Linked DNA regions of Oryctolagus cuniculus. The protein of the gene in region 1 purifies or fractionates together with the protein of each later gene. This does not show direct contact. Links are inferred from orthologs where the notes say so. Each region holds a gene or a part of one and is shown in the gene's direction. Other genes may lie near its edges.

What was found.
Region 2: the proteins of ZC3H18 (region 1) and RBBP6 purify together in Homo sapiens (affinity purification with mass spectrometry; 3 studies listed by BioGRID and IntAct, counting the BioPlex papers as one, with this or other methods). This does not show direct contact. The link is inferred for Oryctolagus cuniculus from reciprocal best matches to the Homo sapiens genes ZC3H18 and RBBP6.
Region 3: the proteins of ZC3H18 (region 1) and FNBP4 purify together in Homo sapiens (affinity purification with mass spectrometry; 3 studies listed by BioGRID and IntAct, counting the BioPlex papers as one, with this or other methods). This does not show direct contact. The link is inferred for Oryctolagus cuniculus from reciprocal best matches to the Homo sapiens genes ZC3H18 and FNBP4.
Region 4: the proteins of ZC3H18 (region 1) and FUS purify together in Homo sapiens (affinity purification with mass spectrometry; 3 studies listed by BioGRID and IntAct, with this or other methods). This does not show direct contact. The link is inferred for Oryctolagus cuniculus from reciprocal best matches to the Homo sapiens genes ZC3H18 and FUS.
Region 5: the proteins of ZC3H18 (region 1) and SRRT purify together in Homo sapiens (co-immunoprecipitation; 4 studies listed by BioGRID and IntAct, counting the BioPlex papers as one, with this or other methods). This does not show direct contact. The link is inferred for Oryctolagus cuniculus from reciprocal best matches to the Homo sapiens genes ZC3H18 and SRRT.
Region 6: the proteins of ZC3H18 (region 1) and SSRP1 purify together in Homo sapiens (affinity purification with mass spectrometry; 3 studies listed by BioGRID and IntAct, with this or other methods). This does not show direct contact. The link is inferred for Oryctolagus cuniculus from reciprocal best matches to the Homo sapiens genes ZC3H18 and SSRP1.
Region 7: the proteins of ZC3H18 (region 1) and NCBP2 purify together in Homo sapiens (co-immunoprecipitation; 3 studies listed by BioGRID and IntAct, with this or other methods). This does not show direct contact. The link is inferred for Oryctolagus cuniculus from reciprocal best matches to the Homo sapiens genes ZC3H18 and NCBP2.

Annotation. Positions count from the first base shown.
Region 1 is NC_091449.1:68,622,366-68,626,406, forward strand, and holds the start of ZC3H18 (zinc finger CCCH domain-containing protein 18), read left to right. Parts: upstream 1-1,241; 5' UTR 1,242-1,451; intron 1,452-4,041.
Region 2 is NC_091450.1:14,874,402-14,877,901, reverse strand, and holds part of RBBP6 (E3 ubiquitin-protein ligase RBBP6), read left to right. Parts: coding exon 1-42; intron 43-2,282; coding exon 2,283-2,351; intron 2,352-3,500. UniProt on the Homo sapiens protein: E3 ubiquitin-protein ligase which promotes ubiquitination of YBX1, leading to its degradation by the proteasome.
Region 3 is NC_091432.1:18,281,269-18,284,768, forward strand, and holds part of FNBP4 (formin-binding protein 4), read left to right. Parts: intron 1-2,066; coding exon 2,067-2,377; intron 2,378-2,839; coding exon 2,840-2,984; intron 2,985-3,500.
Region 4 is NC_091450.1:6,003,659-6,006,580, reverse strand, and holds the end of FUS (RNA-binding protein FUS), read left to right. Parts: intron 1-526; coding exon 527-656; intron 657-803; coding exon 804-905; intron 906-1,022; coding exon 1,023-1,146; intron 1,147-1,590; coding exon 1,591-1,691; intron 1,692-1,803; coding exon 1,804-1,951; intron 1,952-2,217; coding exon 2,218-2,257; 3' UTR 2,258-2,422; downstream 2,423-2,922. UniProt on the Homo sapiens protein: DNA/RNA-binding protein that plays a role in various cellular processes such as transcription regulation, RNA splicing, RNA transport, DNA repair and damage response. Binds to ssRNA containing the consensus sequence 5'-AGGUAA-3'.
Region 5 is NC_091450.1:43,013,073-43,017,292, forward strand, and holds the start of SRRT (serrate RNA effector molecule homolog), read left to right. Parts: upstream 1-1,420; 5' UTR 1,421-1,683; intron 1,684-1,775; exon of another isoform or gene 1,776-1,866; 5' UTR 1,867-1,884; coding exon 1,885-2,006; intron 2,007-4,220. Other genes in the region: TRIP6 (thyroid receptor-interacting protein 6), read left to right, coding at 1-178, 262-382, 479-610. UniProt on the Homo sapiens protein: Acts as a mediator between the cap-binding complex (CBC) and the primary microRNAs (miRNAs) processing machinery during cell proliferation.
Region 6 is NC_091432.1:14,784,300-14,788,291, forward strand, and holds the start of SSRP1 (FACT complex subunit SSRP1), read left to right. Parts: upstream 1-1,192; 5' UTR 1,193-1,280; coding exon 1,281-1,334; intron 1,335-1,765; coding exon 1,766-1,951; intron 1,952-2,928; coding exon 2,929-3,034; intron 3,035-3,286; coding exon 3,287-3,477; intron 3,478-3,566; coding exon 3,567-3,797; intron 3,798-3,992. UniProt on the Homo sapiens protein: Component of the FACT complex, a general chromatin factor that acts to reorganize nucleosomes. The FACT complex is involved in multiple processes that require DNA as a template such as mRNA elongation, DNA replication and DNA repair.
Region 7 is NC_091435.1:83,418,382-83,422,424, reverse strand, and holds the start of NCBP2 (nuclear cap-binding protein subunit 2), read left to right. Parts: upstream 1-1,243; 5' UTR 1,244-1,369; coding exon 1,370-1,447; intron 1,448-3,465; exon of another isoform or gene 3,466-4,043. Other genes in the region: protein NCBP2AS2, read right to left, coding at 823-1,122. UniProt on the Homo sapiens protein: Component of the cap-binding complex (CBC), which binds co-transcriptionally to the 5' cap of pre-mRNAs and is involved in various processes such as pre-mRNA splicing, translation regulation, nonsense-mediated mRNA decay, RNA-mediated gene silencing (RNAi) by microRNAs (miRNAs) and mRNA export.

The DNA of each region.
Region 1 (4,041 bases):
CTTCTTCTGAGCTCTGGAAGCTCAGAGCAGTCAAAGAGCATTACCCAACCCAGGACCCACCCCGGGGACCGCAGCAGGGGGAGCACTTTCTGGCCTCACTCTGGTCGGCGGTTCCGGACACCCCTAACGCTGTGGCACTTCCCGTCCGAGCAGCGGAGCCTTCAGCGGGAGGGCGTCCTGTCACTCACGCCGGATTGGCAGCTGCCAGACCCAGTCCTCACCGGCTGCGGCTCGTCGTCGGGCCGACTCCCGGGGGCGTCTCGCGTTTCTGTCGGGACCCTCGTCGCCGTGCTGCTGGGCGTGGTCAGCGAGGCGGCCCGGAGGCCCGAGCGCCTCTCCATCTCGGGCGCCGCGCAGGCCCGTTCCTTCCAGCCGCCTCCGGGACGTGCCGACCACCCGGGGCCGCGTCACACGACGGCGTCCTGGCCCGGGCCGGGGCCCAGCCCGCGCGGCTGGGATTTCAGTCCCGGGAAGACCCGGATCCGAGGCAGCCGCAGGGCAGACCCGCGTCTCCCAGCGAGGGGGCGGCTCGGCGCGCACCCGAGGGCGGGGATCCCGGACCGAGCCTCATAGAGACCCCCGGCCGCACAGTGTGGCCGGCGAGGACCCCGGGGAGCCGCCCGCAGGCCGATCCCTTTTATGTCGTCGCGGTGGCCACGCCCCCTCGTCCTGATTGGTGGAGGCACAAGCCCACACCGCTGCTCATAGGCTCAGTCGGATGGGGGCGTGGCAAACCTAGCAGGCGACGTGGCGGAGGGAGTCAGAAAAACTGGCAGAAACTGGCCAACTCAATAATCGTGGGGAGTCCTGGAAAGTCTCGGACCGGGGGCAAGCCCCGCCATCCGCTCCCTCTGGGGAAAAGCCGATTTGCCTCACAAGCCCCCGCCTCCCTGCGGGACGCCCGGAGGGAGGCGTGGCTCCCGGTGGCTGCGCGCGCTCGGGAGGCCGGGGGCCGGGAACTCCTTCCGCCTTTCAAATAAAAAAGATCTTTAAGCTTCGTGACGAACCTCCAGCACGCCTCGAGCCGCACCCACGCACCGCACCCGGCGCCCCTGCGGGAACGGGCGGCGCGGGGAGCCCCCTCGCGGGCGCCGTCGGACAGCGCGGGCCCGGGTCCGCCCCCGGAGGGGCGGGGCGCCAGGCTGCGCTTGCGCAGTGGGAGGCTCGGCGGGAGCGCGCCGCGCGGGGCCGCGCCGAGGCGCCCGCGTCGAGGCCGGAAGGAAGCGGCGGGGGGCGGGGCCAGAGAGGGAAGCCCGCCGGCCGGCCGGACGGCGGTCGCGGCCCGATGACGTCGCACAATGGCCGTACTCCGCGGGTAGTGGAGCCCGTTTGTTCCGCCCGCGCCGCCCCGAAAGCCGGAGCCTGTGAGAAGCGGAAGGGCCAAGCAGCGTCTTCTCCGCGCCGCCCCGACTCCAGCGGCGCCGTGGCCTCCTCCCCGCCCTCGCGCTGAGGTAAGCGGCCGGCGGGCGGCGGGCAGGCCGCGGCGGCGGGAGCGAGGCCCGGGGCCCGGCGGTGCGCAGCCGCGGCCGCGGCGTGGCTCTCGGCCGGGAAGTGGGTGCCGGGGCGGCGCGGGCCGGGCCGCGCCGCGGTGTGCGTTTCGCCGAAGCTGTCATTTCTCTTCCGGGCCACTCGCGCGGCACATGCTTGCGGCGCGCGGCGCGAGGAGCGCGCGGGCCCGCCCGGAGTGGCCGGCGCGGCTCGCCCGTGGGCGCTCGGAGAACTTGGAGCCCGGCGGAGCCCGTGGAACTCGGTCCCGCGGCTTCGGGGCCCCGGGGCCGCTGGCGCTGGGGGGGACCTCAGCCCTCACGACCTGCGGCCGTGCCCTGGCGGGAGCCCGATTCCTGACTCGCGGAGCCGGCTCCTCCAGGGCCGTCGGCCTCCGGACCCGTTTGGACAGACGGAGAGTTTGGCTTCGCAAGTGCGGGGGTCCCGTCGGGGTGCGGGACTCTGATCCGTCGCTTTCCCGGTGCCGAGGTCCGCGTTCGCAGAGCTCGGCCGGGACCTGGCTGATTCCCGCCTCCCAGCCCCGGTGGAGGCGGCTCGCAGCCTGCCCTGACGCTTGTCGTCTGAGCGCGTCCCAGCACGCTCGCGCCCCACAGTCTCCGTGGGAAATGCCCCACGCTGCAGAGGCGGCTTCGTGGGTTCTCCCCAGAGCAGACGGGCGCGCCGTGGCCCTGCCCCGGGCAGCAGGCCGGTGTCGGTGGCCCTGGCGTCCGACACCGGCCCCCGTCCTGTAGGCCCCGTGCCTGCGTGGGGTCGTCGGTCAGAACGCGAGGCAGCGGTTCAGATGGGCGGCTCCGTTCAGGGCTCGGCCCGGCTGTCCTCGGTCGCCAGAGCCCGCTGGACCTGTGCGGTGGGGACTGCTGGCCGCCCGAGCAGGGCAGGCTCGCTCCGCCCAGGCTGTGGACGGGTGCGCTGCAGCTTCTGACTTGGAGGGAGGAAGACCCCCAGGCCCCGGCGCGCGGGTGAGGAGGAAGGTGCTGTCCACGCGCGGGCACTTCCCGGCCCTTCCTGCTGCTGGGGTGTCTGCAGAGGCCGGCTCGCTGCCCTGGAGCAGAGCACTGGAGCGCGCAGGGCCTGCCGGGAGACCGCCGGGTGCTTTGCACCTCGCAGGCTGTGGGGCGCGCGCTGGGGTATCGGCCAAGCCGCGTTCGTCTCAAAACAGGACACTGATGCCCAGAGTCAAGGACCGGGGACTCGGCCATCTCCCGTCGCCAGCAAGGTGTGGCGTGGGCTGCTGGTGGCGGCTGGCTGGCGGGAGCCTCTGCTTGGGCAGCACAGTCCCAGGAGGGTCCGTGGAGACCCTACGGCTTCTTCCCCGGGAAGCCGGTCGGGGCCTCCTTGGGGGCCGTGTGTCGAGGGCGCTGAGCGCCCACAGAGCCCCTTTCTGTCTGACAGGTGTCCCGGTCTGGATGTGAGCCCGGGGAACACGGAAGTGGGCCTTGGCCCTGCCCGCGCCCTGTGGGGTAGGGTCTCGCGGCAGCCTTTGCACACAGGAGCCGCGGGGCAGCGCGGGGGCAGGGACAGGTCAGGGAGCAGTGCTCTGCGTACCCAGGCAAGACGTGTTAGTCTGGGGAGTGGTGCTCCCCTCTGGCAGGTCCCCGTGGGGCTGCATGGCGGAGCTGGGCTGCCTCGGATGACGACAGGTGCCTGGGTCCGTTCACGGCTCGCGCAGGAGTCGGGCAGAGCCGTCTGCGCCCGGGTCGCTTGGTCAGCGCCCAGCGGCCGTCCCCTAGGGGGTGACTCAAGCAGTGCCTCCTGTGGGCTCAGTGCGGTTGGCTCCCTGGGTTTTCTTTATTGGACTCGTGTTGCTTTGACAAATGTTTGAACGTGAGACAAGTCTAGAATGCCAGACAGTGATGTCCTGTGTTGACGGTCCGTGAGGTCGTCACTGTAGTCTGCAGATGAGCGAGCGTCACGCGTGTGGGCAGCGTGTCAGAGGCTGCGCGAGGGACACCGATGGGTCAGCGCAGAAGAAACACACGTCTGTGCTGGGTTCCGAAAACGAGCTCCGCAGACCACTCTAGAACTGGGTCCTCCTGTGCTGTCGAAGCGCTGGTCACACGTAGGAGGGGCCGCGCTGCGGCGGAGCCCCGGGAACGCCGCTGCCTGCAGTGCCACCGGCAGTGCCGCGTCCCATGTGGGCGCTGGTTCCAGTTCTCCTCCTCCGATCCAGCTCCCTGCTGATGTGCCTGGGGAAGCAGTGGAGGAAGATGGCCCAAGTGCTTGGGTCCCTGCACCCGCGTGGGAGACCTGGAAGAAGCTCCTGGGTCCTGGCTTTGGGTCGGCGCAGCTCCGGCCGATGTGGCCAATTGGGGAGTGACCCAGCGGATGGAAGACCTCTCCTCTCTCTCTGTAACCCTGCCTTTCCAATAAACAAATCTTTAAAAAGAAGAAGAAGAAGAAGTGGGGGAGAGGGGCTCAATTCCCCATGGGAGCAGTAGCTCCTTCCGTTGAGTGGGGGGTGCCGCGCCCAGCAGGCAACCAGAGAGGTCTGAGCGTGCACGGCCGCGGGCCCCGGGTTCCCCGTCCGGTACAGGG
Region 2 (3,500 bases), on another chromosome or scaffold:
AAATACTGCTCGTCCAGGTGGTGGTCGACCAGGTTGGGAACAGTGAGTATATGTTAAAAATAATCTTCTAGATAATTGCCTTTGAACCAGATAGTGGGAACTACAAACTAGGCAGTATGTTGCCAAATAATTTTCATTGTAAGTTTTCCTTTTATGGCAGATTAATACAATTTCTCTGTGAAATGTCACAAATTCAGGCTGATGGGAAGCATTGTTTTCTAAAAGAATGAGTGTACAGTTGACCCTTGAACAACATGGGTGTTCGGAGCACCAGTCTCCATACAGTTGAAAATATATATAAAACTTTTTTTGACTTCCCCAAAAACTTATCTACTAATGCCCGGCTATTTACTGAAAGCCCTTTGATAATGTAATCAGTTATCGCATGCTTTGCATTTTATATAAATTATATATGGTGAAAAATACATGAGTACCACAAGAGGTCACTTTTTACTGTAATACATAGTAGTACTAGAATGAGGAACTGCTCAGGTGGAAATAATTCCATCCCATGCATTTAAGCAGATAACAATACTTGAGCTTGCTGTAGCAGCAATAGGAAGTGGCTACAAAATTACAATAGTAGCACAGTATTTTACTACAGGTAATTTTATGCAGTTATGATTCAACACTGTGTACCATTGTTTACGTTTCTCTTGGCTTCAAATGGCAGAACCATATATGGTTCTAAAAGTGTATGTTTTGGGGCCGGTGCTGCGGCTCACTAGGCTAATCCTCTGCCTTGCGGCGCCGGCACACTGGGTTCTAGTCCCAGTTGGGGCGCCGGATTCTGTCCCGGTTGCCCCTCTTCCAGGCCAGCTCTCTGCTGTGGCCCGGGAAGGTAGTGAAGGATGGCCCAAGTGCTTGGGCCCTGCACCCCATGGGAGACCAGGAGAAGCACCTGGCTCCTGCCATCAGATCAGTGCGGCAGCGTGCCAGTGGCGGCGGCCATTGGAGGGTGAACCAATGACAAAAGGAAGACCTTTCTCTCTGTCTCTCTCACTGTCCACTCTGCCTGTAAAAAAAAAAAAAAGTGTATGTTTTGATAAATTTATATTTTTATAATTTGTGTATATTTTATCGCAGAACATTATAAGCTGTTATCTATATATATTTTATGCATTCATGACATTTTTCATATTTTTTCAATGTCTCTTTGGCATGATTCATCCCTGGGTTTCTTCAAATTATCATAAATCTTTAAAAAAAAAATAAGGCCACTTTAAATTGGACCAAACAATGCAAAAGCCATGTTGTTCAATGGTTAACTATAATTTTCAAAAATAGTAAAATACAAAAATCACAAATTCTTACCCACTTTTTATGAATAATAAAAGAGATCTTGGCAGGACCTCAGTTAGCAAGTAAATAATAATTACTTGAAAACTTACTTTAACTGTGGAATTCTGATCTCAATTCAGATGATTCAAATTTCATTTCAGTGAATATTCCATATTATGGTTAAAGTTTACCAATTACAAAATTCCTGAGGTTTTCCTCTCTTGGATGGCCCCCTCCATGCTGCTCTGGCTGGAAGTCCTTGATTCTAATAAATATTTTGAATCTCAAAAAAAACTTCTTGAGTAGTGTCTGTTAAAATTTTGTTACATATTAAAATATATGTGGTATGAATTTTCTGCCTTGAAATACAAGGAACTTCAGTTTCTTTGAGATGTGTTATGGTATTAAAAATCATTGGGTTTATTTTATATTTACATATATGTATATATATTAGCAGTTCCATTTCTGTAATCCAATTTGACTTATATTCTAAAATTTTGATATTTTTAGTATGTTAAATGAAAGCCTAGTAGGTTGTATTAGTAGAGAGAACATGGAATTTGGAGATGAGTAGACCTGGTTTCCATCCCAGCCTCTCTGTTTACTTATATGATAGTGAGCAAATGGTTTTACTACTCAGCCTCCATTTCTTCATTTGTAGAATTGGAATGATGCTGCCTATCTTAACATGTAAAGTGCCTGCATAGTGCTTTGCAGGTAAAAGGGCTCTTTTTCCTTTTTATAGAGTACTAATTAAAATACATGACAGAAAAATATTCTATATTGAAGTTTGTTATAATACAGTTAGTAAGAAAGATGTTAATATTAAGTAAAGGTAGTATTTCTACTCAGATCTGTATCTGGAAAAATTAAGAATCACAGACTAGGAAGATGTTCTCAGAAAATTAAAATAGATACCCTAAAGTCTACACACTTAAGGTCGTGTATTAATACCCTTGAAGAAATGCTCATGTCTGTTTTACCTTTTTCTTCTTATACAGTTCCAACAAGCTTGGATATCTGGTTTCTCCACCACAGCAAATTAGAAGAGGAGAGAGAAGCTGCTACAGGTAGGAAGGCCAAAAATCTTAGAAAATAATAGTCTTAAGACATACTGAAAAATATAGAAATTTAGCACAGGGGGCAGGTGACTGGTTTGTGCCTAGTTCAAGTCCTTAGTGGTTATCTTCAAGGATAAGTTACATTTAGTATTCCAAATGGTAATTTTTTTTTAAGATTTTATTTTATTTGAAAGGCAAAGTAAAAGAGAAGAGGGAGAGACAAACAGATCTTCCATCTGCTGGTTCACCCCAAATGGCTGCAGTGGCTGGGGCCGGCCAGGCTGAAGTCAGGAGCTTCTTCCTGATCTTCCACATGGGTACAGGGGCCCAAAAAATATTGTCTTGCATTTTCTCTTGGAGGCAGAAGGAAGCCATTAGGTCCAGACAGCATTTAAGATGGCAGTTTAATTTGAGATGCACATTAACCAGCTTAGCTCCCAGGTGTGAGGAAGAACTGCATTTATTTTTCTTCCAGACTGAACTGTCCTACTCTTTTCCTATCTTCTGTCTTCCACAAGAAGACATAAGGAGATTGTTAAGGGACCTTGCCCTGATAGGCACAAGCAGTGTGAATCTAAGCAGCAAGCCATAGGTAGATCTTAATGCCTGGGTCAGTCACCACCAGGGATAGAGGGGCCGCCTCCAAAATGGTGTAACAAAGATAAGAAAGCTATCTTCTGATGTTCCATTGAAAATTGCTAAGTTTATGAAAGTTAACTACTGTATTACTAGATCACATGTTAAAAGAAGGTAATATTTGCAAATTCCTAGCTCTCTGGAGAGAGACTTAAAATCTAAACCCCTCTTCTATTGTATGCCACTTGCCTGTAATTTAGTGAACCTTGAGCTCAACAGAAGCCCATTCAGTTTCTTTAATGAGATGCAGTTCAGAAACTTGAGCACTGTTTTTACTTAACCCTTTGAGAGAAAACACTGAATGAAGCTTGTCTAAATCCTCTTTCAAAAAAGAGGTTCCAGAAAGTGGCTTTTCTTTAAACTTGATGTTGAAAGGCATTTTGGAGAGTTGGGTCACAGCAGCATTAACCTGTCAGTTCTTTCAAAAGAGATGGGAAAGATGATAACTAATGGCATGATGATCAATCTGAAGTTTACAAAAGATAGCTTTTAAATACAGTGTCTCCATGGTCTTATAAACAT
Region 3 (3,500 bases), on another chromosome or scaffold:
AGTCAGAACACAATCCCAGGCACTCTGGTGTGGGATGCGGGCATTCCAACTGCTGTGTCAAATGCCCACCCCTCAAACTAGAAGTTTAATCAGTCTTTGATTCTTTTAGCTGGAGAGCTGCATCCCAGTGCGCTTTTCCTTAGCAATAAACTATATATCAGAATAATTACAGGAACAACATGAATCAAGTTTCTAAAATCTTCGACACTATCATTACCTTTTCAATACAAAAATAAATACTCTGAAGGCCAAATAGATTCTGGTTGCTTTTGATTTACCTTGTTGAGTACTAATGTGATATGTTTTGAATAAAGTACTATAATGGCCTTCTCCTTGCCCTAGAGCCTTTTGTAATTGAGCCCTTACTTAACCCACCACTTTTGACCATGAAATTTAACAGGTGACTGCGTCTGGATATCTACTTCATGAGATGTGAGATTATTTGACTTGAGATTTCTAAAGCTCTTGGACTCCTGCTATTTCACCAGGACATCTTGGTAAAATAGAAAGCACAAGAGTAGGAGTTAGACTTGAGCTCTCTCTCTGGCCTGGCCACTAACATATGTATGATCTTGGGCAAGGCAATTCTTGCCTGGGTTTCATTACCTTTAAAATGAGGTTGAACTAGATAATTTCTCATTTCTCTTCTACTCCTAAATTCTATGATTTTTAGGGAGAAAATCCCTTCAGCATTCCTGGGATATATATCTAATAGTCCCATATATTGTGAAACTTCCCTATTGACGATAAAGAGGGATGGGGAAGGCTACAAGTAAGTATGTCCTCCTATTTTCTCTAATCTTTAAAAGCTATTCCCAGCAGTAATTCCCAGAAAGGATAGTAATCAATGGTGGCTTTTGCAGAATTTTAGAGAAACTGATCCTACTGCTTTAGCTGCAATTTTTTTTTTTTTTGACAGGCAGAGTGGACAGTGAGAGAGAGAGACAGAGAGAAAGGTCTTCCTTTTGCCGTTGGTTCACCCTCCAATGGCCACTGCGGCCAGCGTGCTGCGGCCGGCGCACCGCGCTGATCCGAAGGCAGGAGCCAGGTGCTTCTCCTGGTCTCCCATGGGGTGCAGGGCCCAAGCACTTGGGCCATCCTCCACTGCACTCCCGGGCCACAGCAGAGAGCTGGCCTGGAAGAGGGGCAACCGGGACAGAATCCGGCGCCCCAACCGGGACTAGAACCCGGTGTGCCGGCACCACTAGGCGGAGGATTAGCCTAGTGAGCCGCGGCGCCGGCCTTAGCTGCAATTTCTTAACTCAAACTTCAGTAACAGCAATTTCAGGTCCTCTGCATCTTCAAATACCATTTTTGAAAAAATATTTGAAGATTGGCTTCCTAAATATCCCATTTTTCACCACAAAACTAAAAATTATCCTAACTTGTGTTACTTTGTTCTACTAAGTGAGTATAATTTACACAAAATGTGAAAGGAATGATCAAGTTGACAGTAGCACCTTGCAAATGGATTTTTAAAACCTGGTAACCCAGATTAATTAAATGGGTAGAATTTTTATCTTTGGAATGGGTATTTCTGAGTCATCCCCATTCATTTATCTAGCTCCTTGAAAAGTAAAATAATCAATATTTCAGGTGCACATAATTCACTCAATCATTTGCTTTGAAATAAGACCCCAGAGTATTGCCTTTTAGTTGTATTTATTGAAACCATGAATACCAGAAATTAAAATTCCAAACCATAGATTTAGATGACTGAATTTCTCATTAAGTTGATGTGTTATTAAGTTTTTCATCCATAAATCTGGACCAAAGAACATGAATGATAACACAACTAGGGAAAGTGCTAACTGAAGATCATAAATTTATCTTTCCATGGGAAGTTATTTCTGAGCTGAGTTCTTTAATATTTCAGTGACAAATTGCCTGTGGGTCAGAATTTGGAGGCAGGGGAGGGAGAGCTAGTCCCTGCTGTTTGAAACTACTTTTGCATGGTGTACTAGGTTTCTATTGATATTTGTCTTATGGATAGGTGAGCGTTTCTGTGAATGTAAACCCTGAGGTTTTTGTCTTGGTTTTTCCCTGACTCCTGTCTGTCTTCATAGGTTCTCTTTGTAAAGAATCCTTTTCTGGTCAAGTTTCTTCTTCATCACTCATGCCACTGACTCCATTCTGGACCCTCCTTCAGTCAAATGTGCCTGTGCTTCAGCCACCATTACCTTTGGAAATGCCACCGCCTCCACCTCCACCCCCAGAATCCCCTCCTCCCCCACCGCCCCCACCTCCTCCTGTAGAAGATGGTGAGATCCAAGAGGTAGAGATGGAGGATGAGGGAAGTGAAGAACCTCCTGCCCCAGGAACAGAGGAGGATACTCCCTTGAAACCTTCATCACAAACCACAGTTGCAACTACCCAGGTAAATGATATTTGACATTCTGAATGGTAATGGGGACTGCAGCATAATTGACTCCATGTTTTTCTTTTATTTCTCAAAGATGTATTTATTTATTATGAAATCAGAGTTAGAGAAGGAGAGACAGAGAAAGAGCTTCCATCTGCTGGTTCACTCCCCAAATGGCTGCAATGGCTGGGGCTGGGCCAGGCTGAAGCCAGGAGCCAGGAGCTTCTTCTGTGTTTCCCATGTGGGTGCAGGGGACAAAGGACTTGGGCCATCTTCTGTTGCTTTCCCAGGCACATTAGCACAGAAGTGGTTTGGAAGTGGAACAGCAGGGCCTTGAACTGGCACCCATGTGGGATGCCAGCAGTGCAGATAGCGGCTTAACCTGCTGCATCACAGTACTGGCCCCTCCAAGTTTTATTTTAGAAAGGTGTGTTCTACCAGGGTCTTTAGCCACTGACCAGAATGTTTGTGTTTCAGAGTTCGGCTGATTCTACCATCTCTAGTTCTCCTTCCATTAAAGCGATAAAGAGAAAAGCTACAGAAATGAGTACTGCAGTGGTTCAGAGATCAGCTACCATTGGCAGTTCTCCAGTCCTCTATAGCCAGTCAGCTATAGCTACAGGTAAGTATGCTTTTTTCGATGTATTGCTTTCCTTGTCTCCAGTATTAGGTGCCATAAATATTTTTGTATTTATTTGAGAGGTAGAGTTACAGTCAGAAAGGGAGAGACAGAGAGAAAGGTCTTCCGTCCACTGGTTCACTCCCCAAATGGCCAAGTGCCCAGAGCTGGGCTGGTCTAAAGCCAGGAACCGGGAGCTTTTGTTGGATCTCCCACATGGGTGGTAGGACCCTAGGACTTGGGCCATCTTCTGCTGCTTTCCCAGGCCATTAGTAGGGAGCTGGATTGGAAGTGGAGTAGCCGGGACTCGAACTGGTGCTCATATGAGATGCTGGCATTGCAGACGACAGCTTAACCTATTAAACCATGATGCCAGCCTCCTCTGTGACTATATGTGTTTGAGTATTTAAAATTTATTTTATTTATTTGAAAGCTAGAGTTACAAAGAGGTAGAGCCAGAGAGAGAGTGGTCTTCCATCTACTGGTTCATTCCCCAAATGGCTGCAATGGCCAGAGCTG
Region 4 (2,922 bases), on another chromosome or scaffold:
CTTATACTGTAGTGCGTAATAGCTGTTGGCATAGTGTGTACGTTGTATTAGGTGTTGAGTAACCTGAAAGGATTTAAATAAATGGGAAGATGTGATTGCATGCAGATGCCATTTTTGAAAAATTGATTATAGAAGGCAAAGATAAGAGGTCTTCATCTGCTGGTTCACTCCCCAGATGGCTGCAAAGGCCGTAGCTGGGCCAATCCAAAGCCAGAAGCCAGGGTCTCCCATGTGGGTGCAGGGGCCCAAGCACTTGGGCCATCTTCCGCTGCTCTCCCAGGCCATAGCAGAGAGCTGGATTGGAAGTGGAGCAGCCGGGACTTGAACCGGTGCCCATGTGGGATGCCGGCACTGCAGGTGGTGGCTTTACCCACTATGCCACAGTGCCGGCCCTGCAAGTACAATTTTAAGAGGGATTTGAATATACAAAGATGGTGGGGGTCCTGGAACCAACCATGACTTGGAGATAATGAAGGATACCTACTATAGTCTCGGAAATCATTGTTTTCTCATTTTGCTCTTTCAGACAAACAAGAAAACAGGACAGCCCATGATTAATTTGTACACAGACAGGGAAACTGGCAAGCTGAAGGGAGAGGCAACAGTCTCATTTGATGACCCACCTTCTGCTAAAGCGGCCATTGACTGGTTTGACGGTACGTGTGAGGCGCAGTGACGGAACTGGAGGTGCAGTTAACACAGTACAGATATTTTTAGGAGAGCACTCTTAGATTGTACCAAGAGTGTTTTTGGATCCACAGGTCTTGAATCAGAAGTCTTTTCTCTCACCTTTATTTCTTTAGGTAAAGAATTCTCTGGGAATCCTATCAAGGTCTCGTTTGCTACTCGCCGAGCGGACTTCAATCGGGGTGGTGGCAATGGTCGTGGAGGCCGAGGGCGAGGAGGTGAGGCGCTGCCTGGTGTTTTTGATAGCTCCATTGGAAAGGGTATATGGGGGTGTGGGTTTGGGATGAGCCAGGCTTGGAAGGGGCCTGGACCCATACTTCCTGTATCTGCACCAGGTCCCATGGGCCGTGGAGGCTACGGTGGCGGCGGCAGTGGAGGCGGTGGCCGAGGAGGATTCCCCAGTGGAGGTGGTGGTGGCGGGGGACAGCAGCGAGCCGGGGACTGGAAGTGTCCTAATCCGTGAGTGCATCTGCTTTTTTTCCTGCCTTTGTGGTGTGTGCCCTTGGCTCTGATAAGCTAATCTGATAACCAAATGGCTACCAAGTGAATGGTCAGCAGGTAGTGTGTGCTGTGTGCATACATTGGACAAAGGAGATGATTTCTCAGCTTGCCAGGGCGGCCAGGAGGAGCATAACGCTTAATCATGCTCCTTGAATGACATTAGCTTGAAAACTGGTGAATTGTTCATTTCAGGCGTTTCTATTTAATATCTGTAGACTGTGGTTGACCAGCGCCGACGGTAGTAGGGAAGGTGTGGACTGGGTTCCACGGTCACAGCGTGCGTTCCTTCACCTTTCGGGCGCCTCAGTGTTCTCACGCCAATTTCTAAGGGCACTGGAGTCTGTTGTTCTGGATCTTGCCTACTTCCTGTCCCTCTGAACTAATTGTCTTCCTTTTGCTCAGTACCTGTGAGAACATGAACTTCTCTTGGAGGAATGAATGCAACCAGTGTAAGGCCCCTAAACCAGATGGCCCAGGAGGGGGACCAGGAGGTTCTCACATGGGTAAGGAGGGCAGACCTGCTCATGAGCAGATGGGCCTTCGTTGTTGAGCAGGGAGGCTGTGGTGGGGGAGTGCTTGGATGGGTATGTGAGATCCATTTCTTTTTTTTCCTAGGGGGTAGCTATGGAGATGACCGTCGTGGTGGCCGAGGAGGCTACGATCGGGGCGGCTACCGGGGCCGTGGCGGGGACCGTGGGGGCTTCCGAGGGGGCCGGGGTGGTGGGGACAGAGGCGGCTTTGGCCCTGGCAAGATGGACTCCAGGTAAGACTCTGAGTAAAAGTAGAGTAATTGAACAGAGTAATGGGCTAGCAAGGTTTTGTTCAGTGATTTCATTTTGCAGCTAGATTGGAAAGAGATGGGACAGTAACCTAGTGGGCAGGGGAGGAAAATTGTCTCTGGGGAACTCATCTGTAGATGCCTCCTCCTTAGATGAGAGATGAGATAGCTGCTCACCGCCGGTGGGAGGGGGTGGATGGAGATGCTGGCTCTCAAACCTAATGGACCTCTTTTTTTTTTTTTTTTGGCAGGGGTGAGCACAGACAGGATCGCAGGGAGCGGCCGTATTAGTCCGGCTCCTGACTGAGGTTCTGGAGCGGCTTTTCTTCTGTACCCAGTGTTACCCTCGTTATTTTGTAACCTTCCGACTCCTGATCGCCCATGGATTTTTGTGTTGGACTACGTAATTGTAACCATACCTCTGGTTCCCATTAAAAAACCATCGTTTTAGTTAAATTTTGTTCCTCTTCCCCCTCTTCGCTCTCCTGGGGGATTGACATCTGGGTCAGGAATGTGGGGAGTTTCATCTTTCAGATCATCCTGCGTAGCAGGAATTGGAACAATTGGTTCCTGCACAGCGGGAACTGGAATCAAGTGTTTGCTACTTGATCCAGGAGAGAAAAAACTGCAGTGGTATCCTTGAGAGGAGAGATTCAGACCTCTGTCTGGCAGCACTGGATGCATACGTGAGATAGACAGACACGATGCCGTGGGTGTTGTCCTGCATTTGCCCAGCTGTGGGAGTTTCCCCACAGTTTGCATGCTGGTCTTTATTTCTGTTTATAGCAGTTTCACCCTTTAAAGAACTTTCTCTTTTGAGGCTGAACAAATTAGGCAGTATTAATATCTGACCATGGTGGTCAGATTTTTGTTGCTGTTTTCTTTTGTTTTTTGAAGATTTACTTATTTTGAAAGTTCAGAGAGGGAGGGTGAGATCTTCCCTTTTCTGGTTCACT
Region 5 (4,220 bases), on another chromosome or scaffold:
CCACCCTGGAGAAATGTTCCACGTGCTCCCAACCTATCCTGGACCGGATCCTGCGGGCGATGGGGAAGGCCTACCACCCCGGCTGCTTCACCTGCGTGGTGTGCCACCGTGGCCTGGACGGCATCCCCTTCACCGTGGACGCCACCAGCCAGATCCACTGCATAGAGGACTTCCACAGGTCAGGCCCCGCCGCCTTCCCTGCTCGGGGGTGGCTGGCTTTGCCCACCCTGGGCTCAACTGTCGGCTCTCCCCTACACCCAGGAAGTTTGCCCCGCGATGCTCGGTGTGCGGCGGGGCCATCATGCCTGAGCCAGGGCAGGAGGAGACGGTGAGAATTGTTGCCCTGGATCGCAGCTTCCACGTCGGCTGTTACAAGTGCGAGGTCAGGGGGCCAGGGCGAAAGCCAGGGGTGTGCAGCAGGGGAAGGGAGCCTGGGGGTCCTGGGGCTGACCGGAAGCTGCTGTTTCTTTCCCGACAGGAGTGCGGGCTGCTGCTGTCGTCCGAGGGCGAGTGCCAGGGCTGCTACCCGCTGGATGGGCACATTTTGTGCAAGGCCTGCAGCGCCTGGCGCATCCAGGAGCTCTCGGCCACCGTCACCACCGACTGCTGAGGCTCCCCGGGGTGCACCTGCTGCCCGGGCCTGTTCCGTTCCCCGTCGTCACCCTCCCCGACACCTGCCTTTGCAACTTTGTTACCAAACGTTGTCTCCTCTCCCTCCAAACGTCCTGAAATAATAATCTGGGAGTTCACAACCCGCCACGTCTGCTGTCCCATCTGATTGTCACAGTAGCAGCGCAAGCACCGTTACTGTTTTATCACACAGATGCAGTGTGGGGTGATTCTCAAATGACGGAACCGAGATCGGGACCCGGGTCTTCCCAGCAGCTCTGGTCCAGTTTTATTTTATTTTAGCCACTGTCCTCGCGCCAGGGGGAAGCACCACCTCCCTACTGTGCAGCCCCGCATCCGGGCCAGATCCGCCCGCCTGATGCTCAGAGCCCTAATTAACCCTGCGGCCTGGCGCCTTTGCCAGGAGAACAACGGGTTCTGCAAGTAGCGCATGCCGAGGTCTCATCAAAGCGAACAGAAAATGGTGGGAGGAGGCGCTTTAAAATGGTCGCTTCCGTCCCATTCCCTGAACGCCCACGCTCCCGCGCGAGGAGGGGGCGAAACCACCGGCCGCCCTCAGGTCAGCCCGCGGAGGGCACCGGCTGCAGGGGGAAGTGGCTCGGACTCCGGGAGACTTCGGGGTGCGACCTCGGGCGGGGTGGGGGGGCGGAGAAAGCGCTCCCGCCACCGCCGGAAGACTGCCGCCCTCCCCGGTCCGGCCGGGCTTCCGTAGTTCTCTCTCTGGAGCGCGCAGTTCGCATCCCGGAAAGCTCGCGAGATCTCCGTGTCCCCGCCCCCTTCCCATCACGCCCTGCTCTCCCCGCCTTCGGCGCCCGGCCTTGGTTCTAGTTAGGGCCGCGCGAGTAGGAGTTTGCGGCTCCGGGCCTTGTTCTGTGGTTGACGCAGGCGCAGCGCGAGTGGCGCGCGCCCGCCCATCCTCGGTCGCCCCACTTTTCCTTCCCCCAACCCCCGCTGTCTGCGGCCCGCTCGCTGAGCGCCCCCCGACCCCCGCAGCCCCTCGCCCCGAGACCAAGCCTGCCTGGACGCGCGACCAACGGCCGCCGCCGCTCCCAGGTGGGGGAGGGGAGGCGGGGGTGGGCAGGGGCGCCCGGGGGCGAGCGCTGCCCGCGATGGCGGGGCCGGCGGCCGGCGGCTTGGGCGGGGGGGAGGCGGGCGCGCGCGCGGCGCCGGAGGAGGGGTCCTCGCTGGGCTGGTCCGCGCCCGAGCCCCTGACCGGCTCTCCTCCCCGGACCCCAGGCCCCCTCGGACCGCGCCATGGGTGACAGTGACGACGAGTACGATCGAAGGCGCAGGGACAAGTTTCGAAGAGAGCGCAGCGACTATGACCGTTCCCGCGAAAGAGACGAGAGGCGTCGAGGGGACGATTGGAATGATCGGTGAGACCCTCGCCCTGGGCTGGAACGCCGGCTCCCTGCTCGCTCCGGGGCGGGGGTGGGGGAGGTCGCTCGGTGGCCGGTTTCCCGCGGTCCGGCCTGCGTGCTGGGGGGCGAAGCCCCGTGCAGAGGCTGTGCGTTGGGTTGATGGTGAGCTTTGCCTCGGGCGCCTTGGGGAAGTCGACCTGGGTGCAGAGGGGCGGTCAGACCGCTTCCCTGGCCACACTAAGGAGTCGGTTCATGGGGACCGTTTTGCCTAAAATGCCGGGGGAGTTGCGTGGGCAGCGCCGTTGGGTTCATGGATGAGCTCCTGGTGAGCCTCCTGGGGTGTCCAGCTTTGGTTACAAGTTAGATGGGGCAGCACGCATATGAGTTGATGGCGAGTGCACGGCGGTGGCTCCGTCTGGGAACGTTTCCATAGAGGAAGCGTGAAGTGACTTCTCCTAACGGTGTTCCTTCATTGAGTGGGGTGCTGGAAGGGGGCTTAGGGGCTGATGTTGAGGTGTAGCGGGGTGAGCTGTCCCCCACCGGTCCCCGGCTGCTCCACTTCCGATCCAGCTCCCCGCCGGTGAGCCTGGAAGGCAGTGGGAGATGACCCGCGTGGGAGACACGGTTTTGGATTCCGGGCGCCTGGCTTTGGCTGGCTCGGTCCTGGGTGTTGCAGCCGTGTGGTGAGCAAGCCGGTGGACTCTGCCACTCTGCCAGACCAGCCAACAGGTCACCCCTTGTTTTGCTGGGTGTATTCATTCATTCATTCATTCACTCATTCATTCTTTAAGATTGGTTTCTTTCTAAGGTAGAGTGACAGAGAAGGAGAGACGGGAAGATCTTGTCTCTGGTTTGTTCCTCAGATGACCACAGTGGCCAGAGCTGGGCCATGCCCTCGAGTGAACCAAGGGCTCAGACAGCGGCCCCTCCTCAGTATTTTCTAAGGTGGGGGGGAATTGGTGATGAGATGATCACTCTTACAGGCTTGTGGTCTGGAGCTTAGGGTGGGGAGCACAGCGCCCTTGGGCCCACGCCGCAGGTATGCGTGCGTGAGATGTCGGTCCAGCTGTTGCCAGGGCAGTGCTGGTGGGACAGCTCGGGCAAGTGACGCCAGCCGCACTGGGCAGGTGGGTGGGACTTCCTGGACGGTGAGGAGTTGTGGGTCGGGTGCTGGGTGCGGGAAAGAGCACGTGTTCCGGGGGCTTGGAGTCGTGGTTCTCGTGTGCCCCAGGCCCCGCGGGTCTGTGAGGTCACAATCACCTCTCTGAGAGCAGGTGTCTGGTGAAGCGGTCAGGCCGCTGGCTGGGATGCACGGGTCCCTCGTCCGATGTTGGGGTCTCAGCTGCTCTCTCCTGCTAATGCACACAGTGGGAGGCAGCAGGTCCTTGAGTCCCCGCCACCCGATCAGAGACCTGGATTATGTTCCTGGCTCCTTGCTGGCTGGCCCAGGTCCCGTTTTAGCAGGCATCGGGGGAGTGAACCAGCAGATGGGCAGTCTCTGTCTCTTTGCCTTTCAAACAGAAGTAATTAAATAAACCTAAAGTGTTACTTTGTGTCGTTGACGTCTGCACTGCTGGTGGCAGCACCAAGGAACACCGTGATGCCAAAGTGTGGAGAAAGCCAGTGTCACTCAGTGTCCTTGTCCTAAAGCTTAATAGAGCCGGCGCCGCAGCTCCCTAGGCTAATCCTCCACCTAGCGGCGCCGGCACACCGGGTTCTAGTCCCGGTCGGGGCGCCGGATTCTGTCCCGGTTGCCCCTCTTCCAGGCCAGCTCTCTGCTGTGGCCAGGGAGTGCAGTGGAGGATGGCCCAAGTGCTTGGGCCCTGCACCCCATGGGAGACCAGGAGAAGCACCTGGCTCCTGGCTTCGGATCAGCACGGTGCGCCTGCCACAGCGTGCCAGCCGCAGCGGTCATTGGAGGGTGAACCAACGGCAAAGGAAGACCTTTCTCTCTGTCTCTCTCTCTCACTGTCCACTCTGCCTGTCAAACAAAACAAAACAAAACAAAACAAAACAAAAACTTAATGGAGTGGGCTTGACCCACGGCCTGGGAAGTGGTGGGCGCAGCGGCGTCCTGAGCTGGGGCACCCGGCAGGCATCTGCTTGAACTAAGAGAGCAGCGTGGGGAAGTGAACCTCCCTGTGCGGACAGCCTTGGGGAACGGGTGTGTGCCAGGGCGAGCTGGCCTGCGTCGGGGGGGGGGGGGGGGGGGGGCGTGCAGGCGTGCAG
Region 6 (3,992 bases), on another chromosome or scaffold:
CTCAGGCCGGCTCTGATTTTGCAAGGTGCACCTCTTCCAAGATGAGCTCATGTGGTTTCCAATCAGTTCTGGCTCTAAGGTGAACCCGACACCAGCGCTCGAACTCGATCCTGCCATTTGCCAGTCACTACCAGCGCCACTGCGGTTACAGAGGTGCAGAATTTGGGTGTAGACGGTGAACTCATTTCAGAAAGGATCAATCCCACTTAGCAGGGGGCAGCCGGCCAGCAGGCCTGCCACAAAGGACACGAACGCCCGCACGCGTTTCTCTCCGCAACTCTGAGGTATTTTTCTTCGTGTTCCACAGCTTCCTTTCTACCCCTAGAAATTAACCCCTACAGAAATTAACCCCCCAACCTCCGAAATCTGACAAAAATAAAGCCACGGTACACGATTTCCCTTTAGGATCCAGTCTCCGCTTGACGTGTCCGCAACGTTCTAAGAAGCCCGATGAGCCTTCATTTTCTAGTCAGTCGGACTTCACCGCTACCGCCCCGGCCTCGGGTCCTCCAGCGTCGCCGTCGCTCTAGGCGACTGTCTCTGCGGCGGGCCTGGTTGGCGTCTCTCTAGCCAGCTCATCCTCTCGATGGTCAGTGCGCGGCTTCCGGTGGCGGGACGCGGGGCCGCGCACGCGGGAAAAGCTTCCCCAGCTAACTCCCGTTCCCCGCGTCCCCGCCCCCCTCCCCCGCATCCCCCGAAGCGCCCACCGCCCGCGCCCGGCCCGTCGCGAGGCTGCAGCTTGAGGAGGTGGGTGGTCGTCGTCCCTGGGCCCCGCTCCCCCGCGGGACGCTCCGAATGGGCCGTTCCGCGTTCGAATCTGCAGGCAGCGGGCGAATCCATTTTAGCAGGAGGGGAGAACCATGAGGGCCAGGATGGAACCTAGCGCTCTGAGCTGGGTTGGGGCGCGGGAGATGTGCACGCTGCGGGCAGGCCTTGGGGTTCCGCTGCTCGTTACCATGGCTCCCGGTGTGGCGCGCAGAGAGGGTGTTGGCTTGGGGTGGTTCTGCGGGCCTGGGATTACCGGGGCTGACCCCCGGAGCACGGCACAGCCGGCCTGTTGGTTCCCGGGCAGAGGAGAGTCTGTGAACCCCCAGGGGCGGCCACCTGGCTCCATCCGTGAGCAGAGCGCGGCGCTGCGTTTCATGACTCTCTCTTGAATTCAGATTCCCAACCTGCTGACCATCTGCACACTCACCCAGGACTTGGGGCCCAGCGCCCAGTGTATTCGGTTTCCCTTGTGAGGCCTAGGGCTCTGCCCAGGCCACCAGGGGCAGGTCAACATGGCAGAGACACTGGAGTTCAACGATGTCTATCAGGAGGTGAAAGGCTCCATGGTGAGAAGGGCTTGCGTTTTTAATAGAGATGGAAGGAGGGAGCGAGCTAAAGTTGATGTACATGAACGAGAGCTTGTCCTGGTGACGTTTCTACTGGGAAAAGGAAGTCTCTGTATAACGTGCACCTGGTGTTTCCCCCCAATAAAAGGCAATTCTGAAAAGTCGCGAGAGTTGTAGGATCTCAGGGTGTGAAGGGACCGTATTTGCTATTCTGTGTTTCAAACGAGGAGACTGATGGCCTGCGCAGGTTCTGGATGCCCGAGCCAGGTGCAGAACCGAGACTTCCTGGACACTTGTGTCTCTTTACTGGTCCTCGCTTCAGCTGTTGCTCCTGCCCTGATCACCTGGCAGTCAAAGTGAATGCTGGGTAGAGCTGCACCCAGGACACGGTCTGTACTGTCCCCGTGCATCTGGGCTCACTTTCCCAACAGAATGACGGTCGGCTGAGGTTGAGTCGCCAGGGAATTATCTTCAAGAATAGCAAGACGGGCAAAGTAGACAACATCCAGGCTGGGGAGTTGACGGAGGGCATCTGGCGCCGGGTGGCTCTCGGCCACGGACTTAAACTGCTCACGAAGAATGGCCACGTCTACAAGTATGACGGCTTCCGAGAATCGGTGAGACGCCCTGTTGCCGTGAGCCCCCTTTTTACCGTGCCATCCTGTCTGCTTTTAGTCTTCTAGAGGGAGTTGAGGTTCCCTCTGGTAGCCCCCGTGGTGCTGGTTTGGCTCCCTGGGCAGGGCCATTGAGGCCATTGAGCAATCAGTGGGTCAGCTCTGAGTGTTCTAGAGCGTTCACAGCTTTTCTGTGTTTTGGTTCCAGAAGATCTGCTTCCTACTGTTCTGGTTTAAATCGTGCTTTCTGCTTGTTTGCTCGTATCCAGGTTCAGAATCTTAGCTGGATGCTTTAGTTCAGGCTTTGCTTTTCCCTCTTAAACTGTTCTGAGTGAAAGACTTAACTTTAATGTCCACTTCTATTAAAACAATGAACACACAAAGTTTAGGAAGTCAGATAACATGGTGAGGTCCAGAAACAGGAATGCCAGTCCCTCTCTTTACTCCTCCCCTAGTCTGAGGTCCAGCTCCCAGGAGCAGCCTCTCTCCACAACCTTTTAAACCATTTCAGAGCTGAGCTGCTGAGTCAGCATGGACTTTTTTTTTTTTTTTTTTAAGACTTATTTATGTATTTGAAAGGGAGAGTTACAGAGAGAGAGAGAGAGAGAGAGATCTTCCATCCACTGGTTCACTCCCCAAATGGCTGCAAAGGCCAGGGCTGTACCAGGCTGAAGCCAGGAGCCAGAAGCTTCTTCTGGGTCTCCCATGTGAGTGCAGGGGTCCAGGGGCTTCGGCCATCTTCTGCTTTCCCAGGCGCCTTAGCAGGGAGCCGGTTCAGAAGTGGAGCAGCTGGGACTTGAAGCAATACCTTTATGGGGTGCTGACACTGCAGGCTGTGCCACAGCACCAGCTCCCTGCATGGATTTTTTGGTAGAAGTCCTATTGGGGCAATTTTTTGGATATAGGTAATGTCAGGACATTCGTGTCGGTTAAGGCCACTGGAGCTGACTGTGGTTGCACTTTCTCCCTTCCACTCATAGGAGTTTGAGAAACTCTCTGATTTCTTCAAAACTCACTATCGCCTTGAGCTAATGGAGAAGGACCTGTGTGTGAAGGGCTGGAACTGGGGGACGGTGAAGTTTGGAGGTGAGTCTTGGGGAGCAGGTAGGATCAAGGGCTGCAGCCTTTCTTATTCTCTTCCTCTGCCACAGTCTCCGGTTTCCTGTCGGGTGGGTTGCTCAATGCACCTGTGGTGTGTCAGGCTTTGTGCCTGGTCTCGGGGTGCAGCGTGAACAAACAGCCCCGGCACCCCGCCCTTACGGAACTCCAGGTTCGGTGGGCTTCTTGTCGATGCAGACGTGGGGGGAGCCTGAGGCTTGAGCAGCCCTCTTCTCACAGGGCAGCTGCTTTCCTTTGACATTGGTGACCAGCCGGTCTTCGAGATACCCCTCAGCAACGTGTCCCAGTGCACCACAGGCAAGAACGAGGTGACGCTGGAATTCCACCAGAACGACGACGCGGAGGTGTCCCTCATGGAGGTCCGCTTCTACGTGCCTCCCACCCAGGAGGACGGCGTGGATCCCGTGGAGGTGAGGCCTCCCCAGGCGCCCCGGTGCAGACGGGGCTGAGCAGGCCATGGGCTGGCCTGCTGCCGGGTTAACAGTGTGTGCTTCGGCAGGCCTTTGCCCAGAACGTGCTGTCCAAGGCGGACGTCATCCAGGCCACTGGAGACGCCATCTGCATCTTCCGGGAGCTGCAGTGCCTGACTCCCCGTGGTCGTTACGACATCCGGATCTACCCCACCTTTCTGCACCTGCACGGCAAGACCTTTGACTACAAGATCCCCTATACCACGGTACTGCGTCTCTTCCTGCTGCCCCACAAGGATCAGCGCCAGATGTTCTTTGTGGTGAGCAGAGCCCCTGGGGGCGGAGGATCCCGATTTTTGTCTGAGGACTTTCTTTTTTTTTTTTTTTTTTTTTTTTTTTTTTGACAGGCAGAGTGGACAGTGAGAGAGAGAGACAGAGAGAAAGGTCTTCCTTTTGCCGTTGGTTCACCCTCCAATGGCCGCCGCGGCTGGCGCGCTGCGGCCGGCGCACCGCGC
Region 7 (4,043 bases), on another chromosome or scaffold:
GTAGCCTAAGTAGAGCCCATCAGACACCCAATCAAGAGCCGGAAATGACAGGGCACTTCTGTACACAATTTGCATCCTAATTGTAGGTCCGTTAGCTGGACCAGTGGTTTGTATCCCAGACCCACAAAAGTGAACAGGAATCCCGGTAGTCTTAATGCCTGGTGGTGACGGCGGTGGAGGAAGACAGGCACTGGGGCAGGGTAGATGCTGTGGAGAGTGGTGATTACGGATTTAGGCCCCGGAGTCAAATGCCTGTACTCACATTCCGCTCTGTAAGGCTCTGGGCAACGTAAGAAGTAATATCCACTTCCTCCCACGAACGCGCTGTAAAGAGTTAAGTGTGATAACCCACACTGAGAGCAATTAGCAAGCGCCAGCCCAGAATAAGCACTCACTGTGTGTGCCGGCCTACAGCGCCCAGGCCTCCCAATCCACCTGGTCTGAGAAGCACCACACTCACGCCGGTTAATCAGCTCACGCATTTAATCAGAGGATTTCGGCAGCTGCAGGGCCGTGTTTCCATCCATGATCTTCCCCGCATATCTAGCCCGAGTTCTTGTCCCATTTGTAGAGGGCAGGCTCCCTTTCTGGCTGCGTCCCGGGGCAGCCCCTCAGGCTTCGGGGTCTTTGGCCACACGGAGCTCTGCCCGTCACAGGGCTTCAACGAGGAGGTCCGTTCGGCCTGGGCTCTTCGTAGTGGGACGTCTGCAGGCCGGAAATCTGAGTCAGGGTTTCGAAGCTGTGCCCAGTTCCCGGGATGACTCCTCAGCGCCGAAGCCACTGTACAGTCCCGAAGCGAAAGTAGGCGACCTCGGCCCGGGCTCAAGGGTTTGCGCCTGGACCCCTCTGGCTCCCCGGTGGTGTCCCCGGGCGATCCCGGAGGCCACGGCGTAGTTCCTGTGTGAAGGCGTCTCGGAATCGCGCGGCGCGACGACCCAGCGAGCCGGCGGGCCCCGCCGCGAGGCCCCGCAGACGGCGGGCCGCGTCCTGGCCGCGCAGCTGGGCCTGCAGCAGCGCGAAGGCCGTAAGCTGCGCCGCACGCCGGATGGGCCGAGACTCGGCCAGCCGCTCCACCAGCTGCGGGCTGTGCAGCAACACAGCCAGCAGCCGCCGAAGAACCATCCTCGTGAGAGCGTCCCGGAACCAAGAGCACGCCTCCCTCGTCCCCGGACCGGCGGCGCTGGGCCGCGGACTGTGTCCGCCTCCGCGCCGTCTGATGACGACACTGCCGCGCTCGGATTGGTCTGGAGACTCCCACTGTGCGCCGCGTCCGCGCGTTTCCGTTTCCGCCGCCGCCGCTGCTGCCGCGCCGCCGCCCCAGTCCGGTTGTTCTCGGGAGTCGGCGCGTCGTTGTGCAGCTGTGTGAGCTATGTCGGGAGGCCTTCTGAAGGCGCTGCGCAGTGACTCCTACGTGGAGCTGAGCCAGTACCGGGACCAGCACTTCCGGGTGAGGGAGCCCGGGCCGCGCGACGGGCAGACCCTTGAGCCAGGACGCTGAGAAACGGTTTGCTCTTGCACATTTCTGCTGCCCCGAAACGGGCCATGGGTCCCCGGTGCCTGCTGGGGAGGCAGCGATGTTGGAGGGGACCCCACTCTGTTTCCGAGAGAGAGAGTTTGAGATTCGCTTTCCCGTTGCCTTGCAGCCGCTCCTCGTGCGCGGCCGGCGCAGAGGGCTCGAGCGGCGTCGTCAGCGCTGGCTGCTGTTCCTGCAGGCCGTGCGTCGGGAAAGTGACTTGTGATGAGGGGAGAGACTTTTTCATTGCTGGAGCGTGTGGAGGCGCCTTTCTGACACACATACCGTCCCCCGTCGGTCCCCCCCCCCCCCCGGTCTTAAATAATCGGCCAGTGTTCTTTGACGCTTCGGATCCTTTTTAAAATTTTTTGTTAGTGGCTCTAACTGGTGGGTGGGCGACACAAAATTGAGTCCTGTCTCTAACGTCGGGGAGAGTTCGGAGTGGGGTGGCAGATCGACCACCTAGAGGATGCCCGCGTGTTTAGATGGAAGAATGCTGGATTTCAGAAGGGGGGTTTTAGGCTGTATTACAACATACTTTGGGGAAAGGGGGCAGCTGCAGATACTTAGAGATGGGCTTTCCCGGTGACAGCGGGGATGGCCAGAGGTTGCGGCAGAGCAGCACTCATAACCTAATTACTAGGGAAACTATTGAACACCGTGTCGCAGTGTTTCGTGTTCCGTTAGGCGAGCTGGGGAGTGGGGGAGGCTGTTGCAGGCATTTGGGGAGTGAACCAGACTGCTTCTTTAAAAATCAGTGTATATTATTACATAGTCCAATTGGTTTCCTATTTGAGAAATTGGTTCACTCCCCAAATGCCTGGGAGACAGGAACTCAGTGACTTGAGGCCTCACCCATTGCTTCCAAGGGTGAGTATTAGCAGGAAGCCGGAATCAGAAGCGTAGCTAGGGCTTGAGCCCAGGCAGTCTGACCAGGATGTGGGTGTCCTAACTGCTGTGCCAAACACCAGCCCTCAGTTTTCTTGTGGTGTGAGTTTAGATGGTTTCGCTATTTCTCTAATTACCACTGAATGCGATCACATAAAACTGTTGTTCTAAGTAATGCGCTATAGAGCATTCAGGGACAGCTTATGCAGAGTGATTCTTGGAGTGAAGAGAACTGATCAGCACTACATGTAGAGCAGTGACTGAAGAAGTGAGGGCCACTGGAACAGTGCCCTGTGCGTGCTGGTGTGGATCTACTCATGGCCCTACAAGCTGGAATGCCACTGGTGTGGTTATCTTGGACTCTTAAGCTAGATCAGAGCGGCGGGAGAGTAAGTCAGCTGATGGGCCTCATATTTAATCACATGTATCCTTCCCAGTATGGAGGCTAGAAGGTCCAAAACAGCCATATATGGGTTTCTTTCTTAAAAAAAAAAAAAAAAGATTTATTTGAGAGGGAGAGATAGAGAAAAAGGTCTTCCATCCGCTGGTTCACTTTCCAAATAGTCGCAACAGCTGGAGCACAGCTGATCCTTCCTCCAGGTCTCCCACGGGGGTGCAGGGGCCCAAGCACGCAGGCTGTCTTCTGTAGCTTTCCCAAGCCATTAGCCAAGACCTGGATTGGAAGAGGAGCAGCTGGGATACAAACCAGCGCCCTTATGGGATGCCAGCACTGTAGGTGGAGACAGCCTATTACACCACAATGCCAGCACCCAAGATACTGGTTTCTGTGAAGGCATCATGTCTAGTCCATGATGAGCCATCTTGTCCCCAGGGATTGTCAGGTGTCTTGGTTAAAGCCAATTATATATTCCTGTCTCTGGTTTATCTTCCAAGTCAGGAACCTCACTAAGAAGATCTTTTTAGTCATCATTATCTTTTTTCCTGAACTCTGACCTTGTAAGTCATCTAAGCCATTGTTGCTTTGACAGTTTTATAAGGGAAACTTGATCTTTGAAAATCCATTTTTCTCTACAGAGAGAAGGGCCCTTCCTTATATACTGGGATTTTTCTTTTTTTTAAGATTTATTTATTTACTTGAAGAGTTACAGAGAGGCAGAGAGAGAGAGGTCTTCCATCCGCTGGTTCACTCCCCAGATGGAAGCACAGCTGGAGCTGCACCAATCCAAAGCCAGGAGCTTCATCCAGGTCTCCCACATGGGTGCAGGGGCCCAAGAACTTGAGCCACCTTCTACTGCTTTCCCAGGCCACAGCAGAGAGCTGAATTGGAAGTGAAGCAGCCAGGACTCGAACCAGTACCCATATGGGATGCTGGCACTGCAGGCAGCAGCTTTACCCACTACGCCACAGGACTGGCCCCTATACTGGAATTTAAACTTGGGCCATTAGAGAAAGATCCAATGCTGAGTATATGGAGTGTGAAAGAAAAAGGCACACTGCTTGTCTGGCAGTCTAATGCAGGAATGGAAAGGTGGCATGCACAGTGTCATTATTGTGAGCCTAACCCTCCCCTCCTGGACCTTGCTTAAGTGCTTTACAGAATTTGAATTCCCCCTCTTATTGGCAAGTTTTTGTGGTGGATTGGAATGATAAGGGAATTTTATTTCCAAATCAGAACTAATGT